Xenopus tropicalis: one gene and its partners. The protein of the gene in region 3 purifies or fractionates together with the protein of the main gene of each other region. This does not show direct contact. Links are inferred from orthologs where the notes say so. Each region holds a gene or a part of one and is shown on either strand. Other genes may lie near its edges.

Region 1 (3,654 bases), on a different chromosome or scaffold from region 3:
ATAAGAATACAGTAATTACTCAACTCATGTTTCAGGGAGAGTTATCTCTCTCTCTGTACAGGCTATGAGTAAACTTAGGGGGCTGTTCCTGCTAAATTGTGCTTAGTACAGGGGAATCCCTATGTGCCATAGTTTTATGGTATCTCTCTGTACAGGCTATGAGTAAACTTAGGAGGCTGTTCCTGCTAAATTGTGCTTAGTACAGGGGAATCCCTATGTGCCATAGTTTTATGGTATCTCTCTGTACAGGCTATGAGCAAACTTAGGGGGCTGTTCCTGCTGAATTGTGCTTAGTACAGGGGAATCCCTATGTGCCATAGTTTTATGGTATCTCTCTGTACAGGCTATGAGCAAACTTAGGGGGCTGTTCCTGCTGAATTGTGCTTAGTACAGGGGAATCCCTATGTGCCATAGTTTTATGGTATCTCTCTGTACAGGCTATGAGCAAACTTAGGGGGCTGTTCCTGCTGAATTGTGCTTAGTACAGGGGAATCCCTATGTGCCATAGTTTTATGGTATCTCTCTGTACAGGCTATGAGCAAACTTAGGGGGCTGTTCCTGCTGAATTGTGCTTAGTACAGGGGAATCCCTATGTGCCATAGTTTTATGGTATCTCTCTGTACAGGCTATAAGCAAACTTAGCGGGCTGTTCCTGCTGAATTGTGCTTAGTACAGGGGAATCCCTATGTGCCATAGTTTTATGGTATCTCTCTGTACAGGCTATGAGCAAACTTAGGGGGCTGTTCCTGCTGAATTGTGCTTAGTACAGGGGAATCCCTATGTGCCATAGTTTTATGGTATCTCTCTGTACAGGCTATGAGCAAACTTAGGGGGCTGTTCCTGCTGAATTGTGCTTAGTACAGGGGAATCCCTATGTGCCATAGTTTTATGGTATCTCTCTGTACAGGCTATGGGCAAACTTAGCGGGCTGTTCCTGCTGAATTGTGCTTAGTACAGGGGAATCCCTATGTGCCATAGTTTTATGGTATCTCTCTGTACAGGCTATGGGCAAACTTAGGGGGCTGTTCCTGCTGAATTGTGCTTAGTACAGGGGAATCCCTATGTGCCATAGTTTTATGGTATCTCTCTGTACAGGCTATGAGCAAACTTAGGAGGAGACAGTATCATATAACGGCTCAGTAGTCAATAGACAGACATCGGGCAGCTTTGGGCACAGGGAAACTGCGCAGAGGGACGGACAGGAGAAATCACTGCTGATAGAGAATAACAAACATTTACTTATCCGCAGGCAGAACTTGGCTGTAGTTCCGATTTTAATGGCTTTCCAGCTCATTTGCCACCGGCAGCAAACTGGCACTGTGGGTAAAATCTGCGCTCCCTACGCCTGCTCATGAGTCGGAACAACAGTTCATTAAGTAAAGTACACGCGCTCCCAAGCAGTTCACTGGGTACAGACTAAGCAGGAGCCCCAGGTACAGGGAAGAAAGCGACTTCTGAGTCGGAACAGAGACTGCGCTGTGAAGCAGATACTGGGGCTCATTGCATAAGGGGGGCAATTCCTATGCCTGTAGGCTCCCCCCTATCATAAATGATCTTCAGGTGAGATAGAAGTCATTTCCCAAATTCTATGGGGCAAAGTAATTAAGAACCAGCCAGGAGAGCACAGCACTGCAGTAAGGCAAAGCTGACAGATTGGAATTACATTAGGCAAATATTTATTTGGGTTTACTTCCCCTTTAAGCACAGTGTCATTTCTGCTTTGGTTACCCCTGTATATATGGAGAGGAGGGGGGTATCTGCCCTCACTTACTTCACTCCGTCGCGCTGGAAGGGCATTAAGTTGCTGCCGAGCTTGGAATCCACTTGAGATAAATCCACTTCCGGAATCTCCTCGCGAATGATGGTGGTTTTTCCAAACTGCGGCGCGAAGGCTTGGAGCACCGGCCTGGGGAGCGGCTCCACTTCCACTTGCTGAATGTTCCGCACACTCTCCACTATGGGGGGATTCAATATGATCAGCTGGGGGGGGCTTATTATAGAGAAATCACATGACCCATAGAGTGTGGCATTAAAGGGATATCACCATTATCATGACCATTAAGGGAGCCCAGCCTGAAGGCCAGTTAGGGGGGGATTTGGGGTGAGTGCTTATTTGTGCCCTGGGTACCCCTGGAACTATAGTGGGGTGACTGTTACCCCAATGTTTCTATATATCTGTAACCTTGTTATGGGCTAAGGGGGCCCAGCCTGAAGGCCAGTTAGGGGGGGATTTGGGGTGAGTGCTTATTTGTGCCCTGGGTACCCCTGGAACTATAGCAGGGTGACTGTTACCCCAATGTTTCTATATATCTGTAACCTTGTTATGGGCTAAGGGGGCCCAGCCTGAAGGCCAGTTAGGGGGGGATTTGGGGTGAGTGCTTATTTGTGCCCTGGGTACCCCTGGAACTATAGCAGAGTGACTGTTACCCCAATGTTTCTATATATCTGTAACCTTGTTATGGGCTAAGGGGGCCCAGCCTGAAGGCCAGTTAGGGGGGGATTTGGGGTGAGTGCTTATTTGTGCCCTGGGTACCCCTGGAACTATAGCGGGGTGACTGTTACCCCAATGTTTCTATATATCTGTAACCTTGTTATGGGCTAAGGGGGCCCAGCCTGAAGGCCAGTTAGGGGGGGATTTGGGGTGAGTGCTTATTTGTGCCCTGGGTACCCCTGGAACTATAGCGGGGTGACTGTTACCCCAATGTTTCTATATATCTGTAACCTTGTTATGGGCTAAGGGGGCCCAGCCTGAAGGCCAGTTAGGGGGGGATTTGGGGTGAGTGCTTATTTGTGCCCTGGGTACCCCTGGAACTATAGCGGGGTGACTGTTACCCCAATGTTTCTATATATCTGTAACCTTGTTATGGGCTAAGGGGGCCCAGCCTGAAGGCCAGTTAGGGGGGGATTTGGGGTGAGTTCTTATTTGTGCCCTGGGTACCCCTGGAACTATAGCAGGGTGACTGTTACCCCAATGTTTCTATATATTTGTAACCTTGTTATGGGCTAAGGGGGCCCAGCCTGAAGGCCAGTTAGGGGGGGATTTGGGGTGAGTGCTTATTTGTGCCCTGGGTACCCCTGGAACTATAGCGGGGTGACTGTTACCCCAATGTTTCTATATATCTGTAACCTTGTTATGGGCTAAGGGGGCCCAGCCTGAAGGCCAGTTAGGGGGGATTTGGGGTGAGTGCTTATTTGTGCCCTGGGTACCCCTGGAACTATAGCGGGGTGACTGTTACCCCAGTTTCAGTGCTCGGGGCGTTTATACAGAACAGGACATTACTTTTCCAGCCGTTACTGCATTTCGAGCTCTGAAAGGCCGGGGTCACCTGAAATTGCCGACCTCTTGCAAGGAAGAAAGGGTTAACACTAACAGGGGGTGGGATACGTATGGGGGAGAACAAAAGGAGGCTTTTATGGCTTTGATCTGCTTATGGGTGAAATGAAACAGTGGTCAGTAATTGCTGCAATTTGCCTGCTTATTACATTGGCCGCTATTCACAGCAGGGAGAGAAAGCCAATTAGGTTGCGCCTCTCAGTGCCAGCCTGGCATTATCTCCTGCAATGACCCCTATTTATCTGTGAGTGGGCGGGCGCGAGGCTCACAGGGGAAATGTTAAGCCTCACAAACAGTTATTCAAGAAAAAATAACCCATT
Region 2 (3,654 bases), on a different chromosome or scaffold from region 3:
ATAAAAAGTAACAATAACAATAAAACTGTAGCCTCGAGGAGCAATAGATTTTTGGCTGCCGGGGTCAGTGACCCCCATTTGAAAGCTGGAAAGAGTTGGAAGAAGAAGGCAAATTATTAAAAAAAACTATAAAAAATAAATAAAGACCAGTTGAAAAGCTGTTTAGAATTGGTCTTTTTATAACATGCAGGGGCAGTAAAGACGATACATATATAACAGCTATTAATATAGGTGGCAAGGGGGACACATGGGGAATTAAAGGATCTACAATTCTGTTGCCAATCTTTTTACCCACGGGGTTCAGTAAATACAGGGGTGTATTAATAACACAGACTTACCCTTGAGTATAAAGCTTCTCTGCCACCTTCATGGTTTCCTTGGCTCCAATTTTCAGCTTGCGGGATGCCAGCTTTTCCAGCTCCTACAGAGCACAGAGAGGGGAGTGAGAACACTACAGAACTGATTACTTTATAAGCAACATGGCCATGGGCCTGTCTATGCTGAATCTATAACATCATGTGAAGCTATGAGACCCACTGGCAGACATTACTGAATATATCACATAACAGCTCGAGAAAGTCCAGCGGTTTATACAAAAGAGCCCATACCACAGTGTCTAAAGCCACAGGTCTCCACTTGCTCTTTGGTTTACTTCCCACCTCCATCACAGTAGCCATAGGATCCTACAAGCACAATACAGTTTTGGATCAGTTTTAATGAATTCAAGCTGAATATAATTAGCTCTGTATCAATCCTGTACCTCCATGCAGATCTGATAGAGAACCAGGCAAGCCGTGTGGTTAAACAGACGGTTCCGTTTCCAGCTAAACTCCACCAGTCCATCTTCGTGTTCATGAGTCACTAAAGAACCAAGAAAACTAGAATAGTGATAAAGCCAAGGATGGGTTATTGGACTGGGCAGTCTGCATGTTTCTAGCTGTATTTAAACCACAGTACTCTCTATCAATGATGTCGGGCCGGGCCAAAACCTGTGGCACTGACAGGTGGGTCCATTGTGGCCAAATCCTGGAAGGTACAAGCAAAGTTTCAGGGCTCAACCAGCCTTTTTTGAAGTTTGAAAGGCCAGTTGGGGCCTGAAACTTTGCTTGTACCTTCCAGGATTTGGCCACAATAGAAAAAAGGCCTTTTATTACCAAAGAAACTCTCCTCATTGGTGCTGTTCATTACAGACTTGGTAAATATTGTAATACGTGATTACTACAGAAATTTGCACCAGATGAGGAAGGGTGTTGTATCGTTCTATTGAGTAGGTGGGATTGGACTGACAAACGCATGTGATTTCCAGATTGTGGTTCAGGCTATGCTCTCCCTTTTGCCCTCTCTGCCTATGACCTTACTCGCCTGGCTTCTGCCTCCAGCAGCCTCAATTTACAGGTGCATGCACCCGGCCCCCTTTGTAACATCAGAGATGGGGCAGGTCAGCTCAGTGACTATAAATAGAGGTGACTTGCCAGGCATGGGTCGACCCACACATGACCATTCTCTATGGGTCAGATACCCGGTTACCAAGGTACGGATTGTCATATAACTAGTGGCAGATAAAATACCAGCTGTTGACTTTAGCAAGCACACCATTATTAGAGACTGTACAAGATGACTAAAGGTGGCCATACACGTAGCAATTTTCGACCAATGGTTGCAGGAAAGATTGTTCCCACCCTCCACTGACGTTCAGGGCTGAATAGTCAGATATGGAGATAGAATCAAAATCTTTTAACCTGGCCGATCGACAAGTCGACAGATATCTGCACCCTTTTGCGATAACGGTCGCCTCATCAAGCTGCCATACACGCACCGGATATCGCATGAAACATATCATCGGTGCGCGTATGGCCAGCTTAATGGAATTGAGAGCAGCATGAATAATTCTCTCCCATGAGTAAGCACCTTTAATCTTGTAGAAGGTTTCAGGAATAAAAGCCTGGATGGCTTTAAATCTCTCCACCACGAACCCCAAGGTGGGAAACTGGCAGCTGCCGTAGCTGATGAGCTGATTGGACAGCACAGAGGGAAACATCTTCTGAAGGCGGAGGGTTTGGAACCTTGTGAAAGCAGCACCTGCATTAACAATCAATAAAACAATAGAATAGAGTAGAATGAATACATTCACGGGTGATAAGGGACGAAACAGATGGCTGATTCTCACCTATCCGCAGGTCAAGCTCCATTCGTACATCTACCGCGTCGCTGATGTTCTGGTCAGGTTGTACCAGGTGCTCACAAGCCATCCGGATGGAACGAGGAGTGATCTCGGAGAACCGGGCCCGGAAAACCTGCAAGTTTGGCTTGACTAGCGCAGAATGAGAGACACAACTAAGCACAGGCACTGTATGGGTGTTTAACACCAAATATAGCTAATAACTCACAACTGTGTCTATCTGGCCCATCATAAACAAACACCTGACAGCTCCAGGACTGTATGGCAGCCAAAGCTACAGATGTTTATTCCCATCAAGTTATACCCTGCACTGAGCTCATACATTCTAATGCAGAGAAAGATGGAAGGGGCTGTTTATTAGAGTTCTCCTTCAAGGTGCAGTTCACATTTGAGTTAACTCTTGGGAGTTATAACAGCTATCTGGTTGCTAGGGTCCAAATTGCCTTAGCAACCAGGAAGTGGTTTGAATGAGAGACATTATTAATATATTAATAGAGATATATTAATAGGAGAGGCAGTGTTGGACTGGGGAGCCAAGGGCCCACCAGAAAACCTTAGACCTTAGGCCCACTCTCCCCCTTTCTTTAGTCCCTGAATTACTTCTTTTTACATACTATTATCTATCCTTTCCTCCATTTCTTCTATTTATTCTCATATAGAATTGAGTAACGGCCATGGTATAGGCATACAAGGCAAATGGCTGGGTGAGCAGAAGGGCCCACTGACAACTGGGCCCACCGGGAGTTTTCCGGGTATCCTGGTGGGCCAGTCAAACACCGAGAATAGGGAGGGACTGAATAGATTAAAAAGTAACAATAAAACTGTAAAACAGAGCAATAGTTTTTGGCTGCCAGGGGGTCAGTGATCCCCGTTTGAAAGCGACAAAGAGTTGGAAGAAGGCGGCAAATAAAATAAAGTGAACCACCCCTTTAAGAGTTCGCCCTGCTTGTACAGCAGCTTACCTGATTTGCAGACATGGATGATCTCAAAGCCAATGTTTTCTCCCTCTCTGTCACAATCAGTCCATATTATGAGAGCCTGACACTGTCGCACCTCCCGCTCCAGGGTCCGCTGGAATCAATAGGACAGCTTGCTGTAATTCTCATTAGGGTGGGTGGGTAGGGACCAGGTGATAGAGTTTGTATCATATGCAAGACACAATATCTATGTACCTTTATGTTTACAAAGTCATCAGGGCAGTACTTCTGCACCTCTGCCTCAAACAGAGACACCGGGTTGCAGCTGTGCCTGGAAAGGGAAAGAACAGGAAGATATTACTAGTTCCACTGATCAAGGTAACACCCAGCCTTGTATTAGCAAGGATGATAATATATTGAAAAGGATGTTCCCCTTATCTTTTAGCCTTCAAATTCTCCCCCCACCCCACTGCCCAGGAGCAGCAACCAATAAGATGATCACTGACCAGTAAATGCTACCTGCTGATTGGTTGCTATGCCTTTTACTACATAACCCCC
Region 3 (3,654 bases):
CACTAATTTGTTTCGTCATACTTTCAAACCATGCCTTACATTTGAAGTGACTACAAAACAATGATGTAAACATAATTAAAAGGTGTACCAGTGTAATTGCAGAAACTTACATCTTCACCCCACAGAGTTGTTGAGACCACTTTACCAGATGAATCCATTAAATTAATGTTTCTCTTAGAAACTTCTCTGTTGTTAGATCTTATTGTGACCTTGGTTACCTCTTCAGCGTTTTTGCATATCCCTATGATATCTGTAGGTCAAATGTAAAAATGTTAGTATAAGAAAGCAACAGACAAGGAAGAAAATAATCCTAGTAATTAAGTCTATACAGACCTAATACAGTATCTTTATTCTTGCTTTCTAATTCACCAATGGGTACAAATTCAAACTGCACCATTGGGACATCAGCAGAGTCATCACAGGGAATAACAGACGTCTCACTGTTGAAAGTCATCTCATAGTCGTTCTTCACAGAGGTGTACTGCTTGTTAGCAATTTTTAGTGTGCCTTTGGAGAAGTAATACACCTAGGCAGATGGAGAATGCAAGGTCATAATAAAGTAGCAGAGAGTCTAAGTCTTTCACTTCTCAAGTAAGGGGGAAAAAACAAAGAAAATTACCTTGTTGACTTCAATAAGGGAAAAGAACTTGTCAGCTTGCTCATTGAAAGCTGTAGCTCGGATCTCACCCTGTAGAAAAATAAAGGCAGCAGTGAACTGACCTATATTGCAATGTCAGACTACAAAGATTTACTACATTGGAGCTCAACCTTAAAATGTTTTTATAGAGATGGCAAGGAAGTGAGAATTCCAGACAATACAGTGATGCCTGGTCGGCTCAGTGCAAGTCTCATTAACACTTGGCACATGATGAAAACTATAGTCTGGTGTTTCTCTTATTAGCTGGTATAACAGAATGACCATGTAACTTCTATTTACACACACTTGCATCCCATGTATGAAGATATTGTGCCTCGTTAATGACAATGTAGATGACTTACTAATTAGCTTAAGACAGCACGTGATGTGTGGGCTATGAAATAGTTAGTACCTAATTGATGACAAAGATGTCACCACTTGCATTCGCTGCCCAGGCTCCGAGATGACTCATCCACCCCCTCTTTACCCAGGGCAAGGAGAGCTAATTATTTGATAACAGATTTGTTCTTGCATCAGAGAAACAACATCTGCACAGAAAAACATTTTAGTCACTGCGTTCTTTTGCGAGTGACCAAGAATAGAAAGAATGACGAGTCCTGCCCTACTCAAATCATTAAGAAGGTTAGAAGGGCAAAACAAAAGCTAGCAGTCTGCCTCTGAAGCAGGGGAACATTCGCAGGCAGCTTTGGAAATTGAGAAAAGGAGCTGTAGCTGCCAATGCCTGAACTCACTCGTGAGAATATCCCTCCCTGCATCAAAACAAATTCTGGTCCGACTAGCACAGTTAAAATGCTGTAGTATAACTTGATAACTGAGAATTAAATAAACAGCTAGTTCCACTAGGGACACAGCAATGCGGTCTGAGTACTGACAGCGGATCTAATCTGCAAAGGGTAGAGATGAGCAAACGCGGCTTATTCGGCTTGGCCGAAATATTCACAAAATGTGAACGTGCAATTTTTTACATACATGACTTTTTCTTTACTTTTTTCTCACTTCAAATACAGTAAAGGCTATGGGCATTTTTCCCTGGAAATTTTTAGTTGCGACAAATCTTTGCAGCAAAAAATTGGCAACAGTGAAATGAGGAATTTCGCAGCAAATCCATGCATGGCCACAAAAATTTGCTTATTGATAAACTGAACTAAATTATACAAAGGTATGTGTATGAAGTGGAGGTTAAAGGGGTGGTTCACGTTTAAGTAACTATTAGTACATTTTGAATTGTCTTTTTCTTCAGACTCTTTTCAGCTTCATATTCAGCCCCTCTCCTATTAATTTTCAAGTTTCAAATTGAAACCACTGGCCATTTGCTAGGACATTTAAAACCTTAGCAAACAGAAATTGAATTGTTGAAATTCTAAATTGGAGAGTTGCTGAACTATAAGCTAAATAATTAACGCAGAAAATAAAGTCAAGACCAATTGCAAATCGTCATAGAATATCAAGCTCTACACCATACTATAAGTTAATTTTAAGTTGAACAACCCCTTTAAGTGTAGTTACTGACTATGCACGCAAAGATACTGCTTGATTGCAGAACAGAATAGCACTATATATTAATCATGAGTGGGCGTAAAAACAGCTATGCAAATGAAGGTTTTTATCTAAATTACCAAAAGTTGCTTTTTATTAAATCTGCAAAACAAATTTAGTATTATTGTTCTATTTAAGAATTATTTTTACCAGTTACAACCCCAAAAAATAATTTCTGTGGATTATTTTCGGTGTTAATTTTTTAAATTATGACTAGAGGTTCAAATTTATTTGATAAAAACTAAAATAATCACTGAAAAACAGCCTGTAAGAATTCTAATGGCTATAACCTTTCCAGTCTGATTTTGAAATGACATCTATGATATGGAAAAGGCTAAATCACTTTAGAAATCCATATCACATGAGAGAGTAAAAGAAACAAATTAGCACAGCCTGCTTACACTCTCATCCACCATCTCAATTGAAAATAGCTTCCCTTCCCCTCGGGAGTTGCTCCATGTGCGGATCTGACCTTTATTGGTAACTCTAGCACGAACAGTCCACCTTAAAAAGACAGAAATGTTAGTGTTTATTAGCAGTAAAATGACAATATTCTTAATCAGGGTTTAGACCCTTTTTATTTGCACTTTTTCATTTTTATGAACAGGGCAAGCCTCCAAATGAGCTTGGGCAATGAGACAGGCAAACAAAGGAGGCAGAAAGCTTGCTCAGGAAATGACTTGCTGGCAAGGTACTGTCTATGCAGAGAGTCAAGCGCTTTCCAGAGGCAGTAAGTGTGTTGTACCACAGGAAGCTTTTACAAACTCTAGCACAGCCAACAAATCAAATCAATTGCTTGCAGTACGCAAAAGATCCCTATTATCCCGTAGCATAATGCAGCCTCCTTGGAAAGAAAATTCAATACTTTAAACAAGGTTTACACTGAAACAACCATTGTGGAAATTGTCTAATGTGCAGATAATACCTCCTATTTTAATGTAATGCTAGGAAATAAATGGTCAGAGTGGGTCATGTGTTCCTAACTGCAATAATCTGTGCTAATGTACAGGGAACAAGGATAAGCATGAATATGAAACGTGTTTGCAAAGAAAAAAAATGAATAAAAGCAAAGTAGTTAACAGTGTAACAAATATATCTTCTAGCCTAGCTACAGTGCCAAGACTACATTGTTGCAAAATGATGTACACATGTTAATGGGTGTGGGTTAAATCAGGCCCACAAAAGAGTGAAGCTTCATTATTAAAAGTGTTTTATAGTATGAAATGGAACTGGTGAAATGACTCCAATATTTCATTGTACACAATTAATGCAATTGTCGGTTGGTAGACTTTTTAATTACAGTTCTTACTTAAAATGCCTGTGAAAATGTATATGCAAATTATTGTTAAGTACACAGGCTGAAGGACAGGAATACAAAGCAATGTGAAAAAAAGAACACATTTTTCCATATTCCAGATTAAATTGATTAAAAACATTCCTTTTCTGTAAAACAGATTATA

Evidence for each region.
Region 1: the proteins of rpa1 (region 3) and smarcal1 purify together in Homo sapiens (affinity purification with mass spectrometry; 8 studies listed by BioGRID and IntAct, with this or other methods). This does not show direct contact. The link is inferred for Xenopus tropicalis from reciprocal best matches to the Homo sapiens genes RPA1 and SMARCAL1.
Region 2: the proteins of rpa1 (region 3) and top3a purify together in Homo sapiens (affinity purification with mass spectrometry; 4 studies listed by BioGRID and IntAct, with this or other methods). This does not show direct contact. The link is inferred for Xenopus tropicalis from reciprocal best matches to the Homo sapiens genes RPA1 and TOP3A.

What each region holds. Positions count from the first base shown.
Region 1 is NC_030685.2:86,339,305-86,342,958, forward strand, and holds part of smarcal1 (SWI/SNF-related matrix-associated actin-dependent regulator of chromatin subfamily A-like protein 1), read right to left. Parts: intron 1,956-3,654; coding exon 1,772-1,955; intron 1-1,771. UniProt on the Homo sapiens protein: ATP-dependent annealing helicase that binds selectively to fork DNA relative to ssDNA or dsDNA and catalyzes the rewinding of the stably unwound DNA. Rewinds single-stranded DNA bubbles that are stably bound by replication protein A (RPA).
Region 2 is NC_030685.2:15,949,314-15,952,967, reverse strand, and holds part of top3a (DNA topoisomerase 3-alpha), read right to left. Parts: intron 3,428-3,654; coding exon 3,352-3,427; intron 3,251-3,351; coding exon 3,142-3,250; intron 2,312-3,141; coding exon 2,168-2,311; intron 2,080-2,167; coding exon 1,909-2,079; intron 862-1,908; coding exon 761-861; intron 684-760; coding exon 609-683; intron 422-608; coding exon 339-421; intron 1-338. UniProt on the Homo sapiens protein: Releases the supercoiling and torsional tension of DNA introduced during the DNA replication and transcription by transiently cleaving and rejoining one strand of the DNA duplex.
Region 3 is NC_030678.2:36,027,944-36,031,597, forward strand, and holds part of rpa1 (replication protein A 70 kDa DNA-binding subunit), read right to left. Parts: intron 2,699-3,654; coding exon 2,596-2,698; intron 689-2,595; coding exon 620-688; intron 527-619; coding exon 334-526; intron 251-333; coding exon 111-250; intron 1-110. UniProt on the Homo sapiens protein: As part of the heterotrimeric replication protein A complex (RPA/RP-A), binds and stabilizes single-stranded DNA intermediates that form during DNA replication or upon DNA stress.